4 linked regions of the Saccharomyces cerevisiae S288C genome follow. Changing the gene in region 3 together with the main gene of any one other region gives a genetic interaction. Each region holds a gene or a part of one and is shown on either strand. Other genes may lie near its edges.

Region 1 (3,707 bases), on a different chromosome or scaffold from region 3:
ATTTACAGTGTAAAGAGAGGCTGAAGATCAGTCAAAAGACGCGTGCAACAATACACGACGATCATTTACCATTTCTCAAGTAATACATATATGCACGTTCATGAACAGGAACATCAAATGGTGAAATTACTTCGGATTGGCCTGGTCGAGCGACGGGATCCCTTAGGTATACAGCGTGGCATGTCTTGAAAGATATTTCCAAATGATGAGGTAAAATGGCGAAAGGCGATAAAAATGGTCTTGGCTTCCATGGTGTGAAAAAGGGTTTTTTAGGATCTTGCCTACCATAAACATAATTTTTCTGCCACGGCAAGTTTATCAATTTACGTGCTTTTGGTTCATCACCTTCCAATTCAGATAATTTAATCGGATCATGATATTTTAAATTTTTGGCCCATTTGGGGTCGAACGTTAGTGAACCATCAGAAATATCACTCATCCTAGTTTTGAAGTGGTCTGTTATATTTTTCGTCCATAGTTTCACGCTTTCCGCTATGATTCTTTTTCCAGATCTTAAAGCGGATTTGGCTCCATCAGATAATTCTTTTTTTGTGGTTTCGTTAGGATTCATCATTTCTGTAGCCAGTGAAATCAACTCGTCAGGCTGACATTTAGAAATGATTTCTCTTCTAATTTCACCGGATTTGAAAAACTCTTGATAAGCGTTATTTAGACTTTCTAACAACTGAGAGTCCTGGATCTCAGGGAGACCCTGTTTGAGTTCATCTATCGACAAGGGCTCATTATTCGACTTACCTATTTCCTTCTCTACATTTAAAAGCTTTCTCAAGATACCTTCCTGTGTGCATCCCTTTAATGCGTTATATTGCTGTGACTCCAGATTCTTATTATATTGCCTCAAAAATTCTTGAAACTGAAGTTTCTTTGGGTTAGAATCCGACATCTTTTCAAAATTTTCCAACTTCTTCTCCCAAACTTCCTTTGGCTCCGTTTTCGCTTCCTTAACATACTTGTTCCATAAAACTATTTGAGTCTTATCGATCTTTAGCGCTTCTTGGAAACTTGGTTTCTTGGCACCGAGAGCTTCCAGCACTTTGTCCGGTTTGACACTGAACATATCTCCAGGCTTTAAAGTATAGCTTGGATGCTTAATTTTTACACCATTAACGCGAACATTTCCATGCAAGATGAACTGACGAGCTTGTCTTACTGACGAAGCAAACATAGCCCTGAAAAGGGCAAAATCAAGCCTTTTTTCTAATACTGCAAAAGTTTGTAATAAAAATGGTGTTTCCTTGATTTCACCTCCACGCAGTGAAGCATCCAATTGTGCTACTGAATCCAATTTGGGTTTGAAAACGGTTTGCCATCTCTTTTCTGTCAAATGTTCACCATGATAAGCTCGGGTTTCCTGCTTTGCCGTCCACTTCTGTTGATACAAAGATTTAGACTTCAAGTCTACACCACCCTTTTTGTACAAATTAAACAAATTATACTTATTGAAAGAAGTGCGTACTCGTCCTCTTGCCAAAGATTTTAGCAAATTAGCCTTTCTTGGCATTATCTCTGTATTTTAATTGTAACCAGTCTTCCGTACCAAAAAAGTATAAAGGAGCTCCTACTCGATATATATTCGAATTAGTTGCACTTCCTCTGGGGAAACCTTCACCTTTTTGACCGTTCGCTCTCTCTTTTTGTATATCTTCAGCATAGTTCCTTAACTAATACTGCGAAGCGAAACGTATCCGGCTGCCACCATGAAAAGTAAAATCGTGCTTAACGAAGAAATCAATCATATAATCTATGAAGATGGATTGGCGGAGTTTATTAGAAGTTGCTAGCTGCTAGTGAAGAAAAGGGAATCGTGGATGTGATGGTAGTACATTGGACAATTGTGGATGAAATACGACTTCTTAGATGGGCATCTGAATTCAAACCGGCCGGAATTCATAAGCATTTCCACATGTTTTGCATAGTGGAAAGAATGAATTCGCCAGATAAGTATCCAGTGACGCTATTACAGAAAGAAACCATGAAGTTGGGGAAGGTATTTACTGCAAAAGACATATGGGATAAGTTGAGCCAATCTTACAATTTAGAGAAAATTGATGAAATGGAGAATACATATTCCTTGGAAGCCACTACAGAGAGTTCACGGAATGGCAATGGAAATGGTGACGATGCAGAAATTCATGAAGAAACTTTACTTGAATTGAATAATCGAATAAGAGTACGCAAGCAAGATTTTACATTACCTTGGGAGGAATACGGTGAGTTGATCTTAGAAAATGCAAGAAAAAGTCCAAACTCTAACGAAGAGTATCCTCGAGTTGAAGATATGAATGAGAAAGATAGTACAATTCCAAAGGAAAGTCCTTCTACAGACCTAAAGAACGACAACAATAAACAGGAAAAAAATGCGACAATTAAAGTGAAAGAGTTGCCTGAATATCATACAGAGGAAAATGATAGCCCCATAGACGTCCAGAAAGAACCCATTAAGGAGGTGCAAAGCGATGAAAAGGAACTCCAGAGGGAACATATGAGTGAAGAAGAACAGAAAATGAAAAGTACAAATAAAACAGCAGCTCCAGTAAGAAAATCTCAAAGGTTGAAAAGAAGTAAGGAAGTTAAATTTGAAGATGAAGAAAAGGAAGAGATAGAAGAAGATAATACGAAAGACGAAGAACAGAAAGAAAAGAAAGAGGAGATCCAGGAGCCAAAAATAACCCACAATGAAGAAGTAGATAAGGAAAAAAACGAAAACGAAGAAGGTGATGATGAGCGTGAAAAATCCACCTCTTATGAAAATACCAATGGCTCTGAAAGCGAAGGAGTTGACGAAGGAGTTGACGAAGAACTGGGATACGAGTCTGAACGTGAGGCAGAAGGTAAAGGAAAACAAATTGAATCAGAAGGGGGCAACTTAAAGAAAAAAACGGAAAACAAAAAAGGAGATGATCAACAGGATGATACCAAAAAGGATTCTAAGGACAAAAATGAACCATTAGCAAAGAGAACTAGGCATTCATCATCCACAGGTAATACTAGCAATGAAACCTCGCCGAAAAGGAAAAGGCGGAAGGCAGGCTCTCGTAAAAATAGCCCTCCTGCCACAAGAGTTTCCAGCAGGCTACGAAATAAAAAATAATCACTGCTCATATATAGATCGCGATAATAAACGCTCATCCGTTCCATAGAGGTATCTGTATTTAATGTAGTGTAGCAGATATAGAATAAAATAACCTTAATGAAGAAATAGAATATACGTATGCTTCTCCTTGTCTAATCTTTTGTAATTATATATCTATTTCAATTAAGGCTCAGATACTTACCATAAACATAAATAAAAAGCAGAAAGGCGGCTCAATTGATAGTACTTTGCTTTTAGTTGACCTTCAACAATTCGACGTCGAAAACCAAAGTACTGTTTGGTGGAATCAAACCTGGGAAACCACGTGGGCCATAAGCATATGGGCCAGGGATGGTTAACCTAGCTTTTTCACCAACAGACAACTTTGGAATACCAACATCCCAACCCTTGATGACTTGGCCGACACCGATGTTACATTGGAATGGAGAGCCCCTGTCAACGGAGGAATCGAATTTTTGGCCGTTCTCCAAGGTACCGGTGTAATGAATGGTAACCAAGTCACCTGTCTTTGGGAAGGTGGCACCATCACCTGGGGAAATTCTGTCAATTTTGACGTTACCTTCAATTACTTCAGACATTATTACTTGTTTTG
Region 2 (3,912 bases), on a different chromosome or scaffold from region 3:
ATATGATGATATTACATTTTACTTACCCCGCTTTTTCCCTCTTATAATCGATTAATTACTTAGTCGACGAGCAACCTTTTATGGCATATTTGAAAGGTAATACAATGTTCCAACTTCGTTTTTTATTCACAGATCAATTAACGTATTGGCACACCTGATATTTCCTCAATAGTAAGTAGTTTTGGTGATGTAACTTTGACACTACCTTCGACCGAATATTCACTTATAAAACTTATATATTACTTGCTTTTACTTCTAACTTGTCTGGAGAGTTCAATCTTTGTTTTCAGCTCTATATACCGGTTTTCTGCATCGGCGGCTAAATGGTATTCTTTTCCGCTTGGCTCTACACAATGTTTATTAAGCTGAGCGTCGGTGTTTCCGATTTGGACCGTTTGACTTTCTTTTTGGACTGGTTTTCTTTTTTAGTACGAGGTGTACGGACAAAAGATACTAACGGACAAAACGCGGTTGCAACTGAAATTTTTTTTTCACTATTTTCGTAGGGCACATTGGTGTAAATATATATATATATACTCAAGGTTCATCTCGTTTTTTTTAATATTCTTGTTCCTTACTCTTGATCATACGTAGAATGTATGTCTTTATCCTGAAAGTAAAGAAAGGATTATACAATGCTGAAATGTTAGTACTAAATATGAGCATACAATCACTTGTTGTTCACTAGTTCAACGAGTTTCATTCATATTCAACTCACGCAAGGGATTATGGAAGAAGAATCCTTTTTATGAAAGGGAAAAAAAACCGAAATACTATGTTAACTGCTTCCAACGCTCTATACTAATGCGCATGAAGATTTTACTTGCGAATCAAACTGATTCGCACGCAATATCTAAGTCTGCTATACCTACCTTACATCTCGCCGTATGTTATGGGTGCAAGGGTGTTTTTTTTTTTTTATATTTTTTTTGTTTGGGGTTTTCGATACTTTGTGAAGGAACGACGCAGAAAAAAACGAAAATCATACGCCCGATGAAATTTTTGATAAGAAAATTTTCTGAAAACCCATGCGATGAGAAGTCAAAAATTTTTCTTCTTCTCCTTTTCTTGTACTTTTATCCCGGCTAGTTCTTTTTCTAAAATTTTCATATTCCAGTCCAATATTTTACTTCATTTTTTTTTTCTGTTCTCGCTTGGCTTGATTTAATTTTTTACGTAGGTTTTTTTTACACGATATTGTTTGTATTATCAGTATTCCCTTCAAGCTCCCCTTTTTTTTATCAATTAAGGTTCTTGGTAATTTCTATTTCTGAAAAACCAAAAACAAAAAGTCATTGATTGACTATTTGACTCAAATTACCAAAATCATAACTTTTCTTTTCAGCATTCCATTATTGAAGGCTTTAAAATAATAGTTTCTTTTTTCCTATTATTTTATTTTTTCCTTTACATTGGAATACATTTTATTTTGAGTTTTAATTTTTTTTATTTTCTATTCCATTGTTTTTTATTTGCTTTGGACTGCCCTTTTCGTAATAATTTCCCTTTTTACCCTATTTTAGTCACTTCTGTGTCAGCAAGCGGGATTATATAAAGAAACGTTAGCAGAAACAATATCAGCAAAATAGAAAATAAACGGGCAATCAATCAATAACTACAGAAATATTGGGAGGTTTTAACTAATTTTTCCAGGATATTTCAACTTTTCATAAATCAAATTTTTTTTACTTTTTTTTTTGCTTTGCTATAGTATTTTAGAAAAGGACAAAAAAATACGAAAAAAGACAAAAAACCATATAAAAAAATTGATTAGAAGAACTTATAATGGCATTGGCAAATTCCAGACCTTTGCAAATACCAACTTTAGAGAATGAAATTCTTCATAACTCAAATTCTCCAGTATTTCAGTTGAATTCAATGGGATTTACAACTAGAGCTGACACTATTTCGAATCCAGGCACGGATCTTATCGGCAACCAGCCAGGCATGGCCCTTGATGATAATAATTTGGCCGGTTCTTCGTTTTCCTCATCTCAGGAAATAAAAGCTACCAAACCTAAGAAGGACTTTGGTGCTCCCAAAAAAGACAATCCATTATTAGAAATTTCTAAGCTAATACCTGTTACTGGTGAGAGGCCAAAACCCGAAAATAGAGACTCCCCTCTGGATGATGACGTTCTTCACGCAGTTTTTTTAATATTATGGGAAATGGATCCGAATCAACAAGGCATGACCGTCAAACAACTGTGTGACTTGCTTTTGCAAAAACATCCAGATATGTCCAATTTATCAACCAAGTTGTCAAATTTAATTTCCGCAAAACTGAACGCTTATGTTAAAAAAATTGAAAAAGGTGAGAAAACGTTAACTTATGCTTTATCAAGGGAATGGTCTAATTCATCTCCTAGAAGGATGCTCTATATATACAGAGGCATATTATCTCCCGATTACAAGGAGCATGCTCAAGCTGTTACGATGCAACTTAAACAACAATTGGAGACCTCCGGTGATACAAGCGACTTTAATTCAAATGGCAAGAAAAAAAGGGAGTCCAGCAGTAACCAGCTAGTTAACAATGACAGTTATTCAAGTTCTATGACGGACATGAAAAATATGTCTTCTAACAGTTCCTTCTCAAAAAATTTGAATGTAGGGAATCTGGCCTTTTCATTAAGTCCAGAATTCAACATACCTTATTCCACTTCTCCAGTGTCACTAAATCTTTCCCCATCGATGAGTAATAATCAGCAACAATTACTGACACCTAATTCGGCATCGAAGAGTAAAAACAATAATAAAAAAAGAAATTACATGGATGAAGATACTAACGAGTCAATGACCGAGCCAAAGAAAACCAAAACTACTAAACCTGGCAAACAAACAAAATCCCAATCTTTATCAGTTTTATCCACCCCCAAAAAGGGTTCCTCTGCATCTCTTTCTACATTTGCAAGCTCCAAGAATATTTCGCCAGATTCTTCTCTGTCGCATAATGCATCGTCAAATACTTATGTTACTGCCGCTGCCGCTGCACCAAGGCTTTCTAAGCTTTTGCCGAAAAATGGGTTTAAGAAAAATTCACGTAGCTCTTCTGAACTGGCTGCTATCCATAAAGTAATCTCTACACAGACTCCAATTGAGAGCTCTTCAGAGAGCTCTCAATATAACAGTAGTAGTAGTTCACCAGTTAATAGTGCAGCTGCTTCTTCTGCTGAATCTTTATCCGACATCAATTCCAGTCAGGATAACGGAAGAGAATCAAACCCAAGTTCCCAAGAATCACGAAACGAAGTTACGAATTGGATGAAAATTGTGAGAAATGGATTTTTGACACATGATATTGAATCTCCTGAATCAATCACATTAGATGACCTAGAAAATATATTCAATTGATTTTTATCTCCCTTTACAAGAGCATAACGGCTGCTCTACACCTATGTCGTTGTTTTTTTTTATCAACTAATAATATGTGTTCCTCTCATTTGGACAATTTTTAGCTAGTTCTAACTTTCACTACAATATTTAAATAAATAAACAACCATAAATAAATAAATGAAAAACAACTAAACCGTTAGAGGTGGACTAATTTACTGTTAATGACAGTAATTTTTTTTTTTTTGGCTGTTTTCGGTTATTCCGGATATATATGGATTGATCTTCATTTACCCCACAGTTAGTTTATCCGAAATTTGCGGGAAGCTTTATTTTTTGTTACCAATGGATCGCGATTTGCCATGACTGTAGAAAAGAAAAGGTTAACTGAAAAATTCAACTTTTTCAAGCGGACTGAGTAGTAGTGGTCCCCACTTAATTAATTTATTCAATACGTTATATACTTACTGTTACTTCAGGCCACATAAAAGAACAAACTTAAGCTAGACAGGAAAATCCACTCTGGGAAAGGGAAAATGATTAAGTTCACTAACGAGAACTTAATTAGAGGGATCCGAA
Region 3 (3,400 bases):
TGCACTGATGAGCTAGTTAAAGACAGTTTCTCTCGAGAATGGGTACAGTTATCATTTACGTATAACGTAACTATTCCTAATTTAGGCTACCAATCTTCACCTGCTATGAATTACTTTAAACCTAGCATTAAGTTGATTCATTTCATTGGGAAACACAAGCCATGGTCATTGTGGTCCCAAAAGAATTTCATTAAAAACGAGTATCATGATCAATGGAATGAGGTATACGAGGAATTTAAGGAAGAACATCAATTAAATAACGAAGTTTCGAAGCCAAAGATTAGTGATTCCGATAAAACTGAGACTCCTGAAACGATAACCCCAGTGGATGCCCCTCCATCGAACGAACCCACTACGAATCAAGAGATCGACACAATTAGTACAGTGGAAGAAAACGTGGACAACCAGAACGCCGAGCCTGTTCCTAACTCGGATCATAGCCCTGCTCCTAACCCTGTCCCATTGGATTTTACCAAGTGGTTAACAACCTTTATTAACAAAGATCACTTGACTAATCAGCCAGTAAATGAAAGCAGAGAATATTCGAAAGAGAATGATAACAATATAATCAATAGCAGTTCAAACCGCGACCAAGAAAGTCCTCCAAATAGTACTCAGGAACTAAACAGCTCTTATAGCGTTGTGAGTACTCAAGCTGATAGCGATGAGCACCAAAATGCAGAAGAGGAGGATAGTACGACAGATAACGCTTCAAATTCTGGAGAAGAAAGCCACCTCGATGATATAAGCACGGCCGCTTCTTCCAATAACAATGTAAGTAATCAACCAGATGGCAAAAATTTTAGCAATTCTAAAGAAAATAATATCAGTGTCGAATCTAGCCCTTCAAATCCAGAACAGAAAAGGTCAACTGACAATATACAAAAACCAAGTGTTTCTACTAATGACTTACCAGACGACGTAGAACCACATACCTCTGTTGATGACAATATACAGTACTTAGAAAAAGACAAGGAAGGTTATGAAGAATTTCTTCCGGACGTGTACGAGTCAAATGCAATCGATAACGAAGAAGAATTTTTTGATGACGATGCAAGAGATGCTACCGAAGGAGAAACGAAGACGAGTGCAGTTGCAGATAAACAGGAGGATATGAAACTTACAGCAGAGGAAACCAACCAACCGCAACAAGAAATGCCCAACTTCAAATTTGACTGGGAGGACTCTGATTATCTATCCAAAGTAGAGAGGTGTTTCCCTGATGATATTTTTGAGTATGCAGTAGAGTAAACTTCCACGCACATATTAGGAAAATTAAAAGACATATCTATGTAAAGACCTTTTCGACTATACAAAAATGCATAACTATTCTATATACATTCAAACTCGAAATTTACTTTAAAGGTTTATCAGCAACAACATCCGATGCTTGCTGTTTATCTTTTCTCACCTCACAACGTTTATAGTGACTGAAAAATTTTTGCATTCTCACCTCGTCTATTGAATGATGTGCTAAGAACTTGAGCTAACATCACAGAACAAAGGTATGAATATACGCAGCCCTGACATTTGTAGATTTTTTATTTGGTCTCTAGTCTTTTCTTTTCTTATTTTATAACAAATTCGTTAAACGGCCTCCTTCTAATTATATACAAGATGTCTGAAGGTATTACTGATATTGAAGAATCCCAAATTCAAACCAACTATGACAAGGTTGTCTACAAGTTCGATGATATGGAATTGGACGAAAACTTGTTAAGAGGTGTTTTCGGTTACGGTTTCGAAGAACCATCTGCCATTCAACAACGTGCCATCATGCCTATTATTGAAGGTCACGATGTCTTGGCTCAAGCTCAATCTGGTACTGGTAAGACCGGTACCTTTTCCATTGCTGCTTTGCAAAGAATTGACACCTCTGTCAAGGCTCCTCAAGCTTTGATGTTGGCTCCAACTAGAGAATTGGCTTTGCAAATCCAAAAGGTTGTCATGGCTTTGGCTTTCCACATGGACATCAAGGTCCACGCTTGTATCGGTGGTACTTCCTTTGTTGAAGACGCTGAAGGTTTGAGAGATGCTCAAATCGTCGTTGGTACTCCAGGTCGTGTTTTTGACAACATCCAAAGACGTAGATTCAGAACTGACAAGATCAAGATGTTCATCTTAGATGAAGCTGATGAAATGTTGTCTTCTGGTTTCAAGGAACAAATCTACCAAATTTTCACCTTACTTCCACCAACCACTCAAGTTGTTCTATTGTCCGCCACCATGCCAAATGACGTCTTGGAAGTTACCACCAAATTTATGAGAAACCCAGTTAGAATTTTGGTTAAGAAGGATGAATTGACTTTGGAAGGTATCAAACAATTCTACGTTAATGTTGAAGAAGAAGAATACAAATACGAGTGTTTGACCGATTTATACGACTCTATCTCCGTTACTCAAGCTGTCATCTTCTGTAACACCAGAAGAAAGGTCGAAGAATTGACCACTAAGTTAAGAAACGACAAATTTACCGTTTCTGCCATCTACTCTGATTTACCACAACAAGAAAGAGACACCATCATGAAGGAATTCAGAAGTGGTTCTTCCAGAATTTTGATCTCCACTGATTTGTTGGCTAGAGGTATCGATGTCCAACAAGTTTCTTTGGTTATTAACTACGACTTACCAGCTAACAAAGAAAACTATATTCACAGAATCGGTAGAGGTGGTCGTTTCGGTAGAAAGGGTGTTGCCATCAACTTTGTTACTAACGAAGACGTTGGCGCTATGAGAGAACTAGAAAAGTTCTACTCCACTCAAATTGAAGAATTGCCATCCGACATCGCTACTTTGTTGAACTAAGGGAGACAAAAACTTCTTAAAAAAGTATCTTGTGAGGCTATCTTGATAACGTAACATATATTTCTAAAAAGTTATATATGCTTTTTGTATTTAATTTGTTTTTCTTTTTACATTCCTATTATTCTTCAAAGTCCAAAAGACTCTCGGCACGAAGGTTGAAATACCCTATACTAATTGTTTGCTTTGTCTTTTTGTATATATCCGAACGTATCTATCTGAAATTTTTCAAATTTATAAAAAATAATATATATAAAAGGAAAAAAAAAAAAATCGATGCCCTACTAATAGAGATTGGAGCTGAAAAGAAAAAGTGTACATCAAACGCTATATCTCGAGGTTTGGGATGGTTGAGTCAAATGATATTATAAAAAGTGGGCTGGCAGAGAAAGCACTAAAGGCTCTAATTTTACAATGTGAAGAGAACCCATCTTTAAAAAATGATAAGGACATACACATAATCATCAACACGGGCAAAAAAATGGGCATAAACAGGGACAACATCCCCCGTATTATTCCATTAACAAAGTACAAGCTATTTAAACCAAGGGACCTAAACATATTACTCATTACCAAGGATCCCTCTGCCTTGTATAGA
Region 4 (3,854 bases), on a different chromosome or scaffold from region 3:
CAAGGACGCCAAAGACGGATATTCTTGGAAGTCTCCTTGCTAAGAAAAGAAAATAGTTGTACTTGATCCCTATATTATATTATATCCTATTTATAACCAAGGGCTTGCCTTCGCGAACAACAAGGTATGCCATTTTGAGAGGAGCAAATTTGCATTCTAAATTCATGATAATGATATGTTCTTTAATTATTACTATATATAAACTCACTTAGTTTTCCAGCCTTTGCTCTTTTGTTCGTATAGCAAGGAATGAAAAAAAAAAATCCTGAATAAACGTCATAGTAATTTTCTTCCTTAGTTAGATACAAAGGATTTTGAAATACAGTATATGCACAATCGCAACTCATTAAGAGCATAGGAAAGTATTCAATTTAAAGAAAAACATGATGGAAACGATGATATAGAAAAAAGAACGGAAGCAAGCGTTAACTGTGATAGGAATATGCATAGCTTTTTCTTCTTTTTTGTTTTATTATTATTGTTGAATGCTATTTGCTGAATCAATTTACTTGACGAATGGTGTAGAATAATAAATATGCCTGTTCCTTTAAAACCTCTTCTTGAGATATAGAGGAGACCATGGAATCATTGAATTTAAACCATTGCCCTCCAGAAATTTTACAAAATGCAATATAATGTCCCTCATTAACCGTCCCCTTGTGGGAAACAATACCGATTAATTCGTAAATAATGTCTGGAACCTTGCCATTTTCAGAATGCTTATCTTTTTCCTTCGTTGAACAGTAATTTTTCATATTTAAATAAGTTGGAAATTCAATAAAATCGTCTAGTTTTCTGTTACTTCCATTAAGTAGGTGTTCGAATCTTTTCAATTGCAAAACCAAAACCGATGGTAATTTGTGTATGCCTAGTTGCTTTATTGCATCTTGAGTGCTGTTACACTCCCCACAATGATAGTTGAAATCCTTCAACTGTTCTTTTTTATGGAAACTGTCAAGACATTCATAAAGTTTTTTCTTATCCTTGATATCCAGAGAAAGATCCAAGAATGGATCAATGGTTGTCTTTGAATTATTTTGACAGCCTGGACACACAATAGAACTTTCCAAGGAGCCCTCAAACACAGTATGCACTATGCATTCACACTGCTTATTATTTGCTCTGCTGACTTCCTTGGCATTTGGCAAATCAAGAACATAGCTTTGGTGGATTTGGTTAATTATAAACTGCCAAAATTCATGAGCATCTTGTTGTGAATACCCTGCTAGATTTTGATTGATTTTCCAGGCACAAGTTAAAAGATATATGAATCCGGTTTGCCGATTAGTAGATGTAGATGACGAAGAAGCTTGCTTTGTATTCAGCGCTCCATAAAGTTCATGAACAATTTTATCGAGTGCACATGAAAAACATTTATCTGGAGAACGCACTTTACAATTATTAGAATGAATTTGACTCATTGAGTGCCTAATAAAGTAAGGGTTATGGATTAGACATTGGAGAATACTACTCATGAAACAAGTGGATCCCATGTTGATCAGGCCAGAAAGCCCATCTCTTCTTTCCATGCTAGGAACCATGGTCTTTGTGCACACGTCGTCCCAATACTTCGCTAGGATAGCATCGTTAATCAGATCGATATTCCCTATATAGTCCTCACATTTGAAGCAAAATAAAAGGCCATTATTTGAGTTGATACCAAATATGTGACCAATCTGTTTACTGTGAGAGAGAAAATGCGAATGGTTCCAACATCCACAAAATCCACATTGTAGACACATGAAAGTTGCACCAGAGTTTATTTCGTGGCATGTACCACATTTCATGGTGTTTAAGAATTTTTCCTTGGGTACGGAATGATTTAATATATACCTGGCAGCATTGCACGTTTTTAGAACCCCATCTTTAGACTTTTCATTCTGAAATACTTGCTGTATATGTGGACAAATGCTCATAATTATTAATAACAAATAAAAAAAGCAGGGTTTCAAGTAGGACGACGAGGACCGAAGCTGTAGTTTTCCCTTTTGATCCGATCAATAAATAGTATTCAAAATTATGACAGCCAGTTGAAAGAAATGGACTAACTGGTCTCAAAAGAAAACCTTTATTATTATCCGTAAAATATCTTTTTAGAATTAATCAGGTCCACTAATATAATCCCTTTGCTATTACGACAGCTTTCTAGCCCATATACAATATAAATTATTGATGCTTTTTACACACTATAATCGAGGATTTTTTTTCACTTGAAAAATTCAAAGAAAAGCAAAAAAAGGAAGAATAGAGAAGAAAAAAAAGGTATAAGTGAAGAAAGAATGTGCAATACTACAAGACTATAAGATTTAATAGCTGTAACCATGACGAAGAATGTATTGATGTTACATGGGCTTGCGCAGTCAGGTGACTACTTTGCCTCTAAGACAAAGGGGTTTCGCGCCGAAATGGAAAAGTTAGGATATAAACTCTACTATCCAACAGCACCCAATGAATTTCCCCCAGCTGATGTTCCTGATTTCTTGGGTGAGGTAATTGCTGATGCACCTGGGGATGGTGAGAATACCGGTGTGCTTGCGTGGCTAGAGAATGACCCTTCCACCGGTGGCTATTTCATACCGCAGACGACAATCGACTATTTACACAATTATGTCCTTGAAAATGGTCCATTTGCAGGTATTGTAGGATTTAGTCAAGGAGCCGGTGTAGCTGGATACCTAGCAACGGATTTCAATGGTTTGTTGGGCCTTACAACAGAAGAACAGCCGCCGCTAGAATTTTTCATGGCGGTCAGTGGTTTCAGGTTCCAACCACAACAGTATCAAGAACAGTACGACCTGCATCCAATATCGGTCCCATCTCTACATGTTCAAGGAGAACTTGACACTATCACAGAGCCGGCCAAAGTGCAAGGCCTATATAACTCTTGTACGGAAGACTCTCGCACTTTACTAATGCACTCTGGGGGCCACTTTGTGCCGAACTCAAGAGGGTTTGTGAGAAAAGTGGCTCAATGGCTCCAGCAGTTGACCTGAGGCAAGTATATATAGCACGTAATCTTCACATAATCTTCACATACATATTTATACATGATTAAATCCTCCGGGTAATAATACGTCAAATTAACTTAACTACCGATACGATGCTTCATTATGATAACGATAACAATGGCATCTATAAATGATTTTATTCCTCGTTAGGCCAGTATTAGGGCAGTAAAGACTGTAATGACCAGTACAAGAACGTTGAGATACGCACAGGTTGCCTGTGCTTGTATCTGGTGTCTTTTTTCAGCTGGTATTATCTTTGGATTTGCTGCTTTGAAACCTATTTTAATTTCAGAAGGTGTATACCATGAATTGTGTGATCCTAAGGATGGTGATAGATTATTATGTACTGCACAGGATCTGAAATTAAATTTTATATTTGCTCTCAGTGCTACTGTAACAAACATCATGGCCCTTCCTGTCGGTAAGATTTTGGATATGTATGGACCTCGTGTCTGCGGAATAATAGGATCATGTCTCTTGTTCCTAGCAAGCGGTAATTTTATTTCTGCCAAGCATCTAGTGTCTCTTTGGGACCCATATCTTGTCGGTTACACGCTTTTGGCAGTTGCCGGTCCGTTCGTCTTCATTTCATGTTTTCAATTGGCAAATAGCTTCCCACAAAGATCAGGAACCGTATTGGCCCTACTAACAGGATCATTTGATTCGTCATCTGCGCTGTTTCTGTTATATAGGTTGTTATATCAAAACTGGTTTCCTACCTTGAACGTTTCCAGATTTTTCACCCTATATTTGATTGTTCCAGTGTTTATTCTTGCCTGTCAACTCACGATAATGCCTCATTCTTCCTACAAAACTGTCAATCACATTGCTAAGATCGCTGTGGAA

Evidence for each region.
Region 1: mutations in TIF1 (region 3) and EAF7 together harm fitness more than expected from each alone (negative genetic interaction), as found in Saccharomyces cerevisiae (4 studies listed by BioGRID).
Region 2: mutations in TIF1 (region 3) and GDS1 together harm fitness more than expected from each alone (negative genetic interaction), as found in Saccharomyces cerevisiae (3 studies listed by BioGRID).
Region 4: mutations in TIF1 (region 3) and UBP8 together harm fitness more than expected from each alone (negative genetic interaction), as found in Saccharomyces cerevisiae (3 studies listed by BioGRID).

Annotation. Positions count from the first base shown.
Region 1 is NC_001146.8:368,534-372,240, forward strand, and holds EAF7 (Eaf7p), read left to right. Parts: upstream 1-1,834; coding exon 1,835-3,112; downstream 3,113-3,707. Other genes in the region: mitochondrial 37S ribosomal protein uS4m NAM9, read right to left, coding at 62-1,522; peptidylprolyl isomerase FPR1, read right to left, coding at 3,349-3,693. UniProt on the Saccharomyces cerevisiae protein: Component of the NuA4 histone acetyltransferase complex which is involved in transcriptional activation of selected genes principally by acetylation of nucleosomal histone H4 and H2A. The NuA4 complex is also involved in DNA repair.
Region 2 is NC_001147.6:1,003,352-1,007,263, forward strand, and holds GDS1 (Gds1p), read left to right. Parts: upstream 1-1,785; coding exon 1,786-3,354; downstream 3,355-3,912. Other genes in the region: CIR2 (electron-transferring-flavoprotein dehydrogenase), read left to right, coding at 3,870-3,912. UniProt on the Saccharomyces cerevisiae protein: Involved in nuclear control of mitochondria.
Region 3 is NC_001143.9:553,370-556,769, forward strand, and holds TIF1 (translation initiation factor eIF4A), read left to right. Parts: upstream 1-1,617; coding exon 1,618-2,805; downstream 2,806-3,400. Other genes in the region: glycogenin glucosyltransferase GLG1, read left to right, coding at 1-1,251; UTP30 (Utp30p), read left to right, coding at 3,149-3,400.
Region 4 is NC_001145.3:714,777-718,630, reverse strand, and holds UBP8 (ubiquitin-specific protease UBP8), read right to left. Parts: upstream 1,917-3,854; coding exon 501-1,916; downstream 1-500. Other genes in the region: MRE11 (MRX complex nuclease subunit), read left to right, coding at 1-56; FSH2 (putative serine hydrolase), read left to right, coding at 2,322-2,993; FMP42 (Fmp42p), read left to right, coding at 3,186-3,854. UniProt on the Saccharomyces cerevisiae protein: Histone deubiquitinating enzyme component of the transcription coactivator SAGA complex. SAGA acts as a general cofactor required for essentially all RNA polymerase II transcription.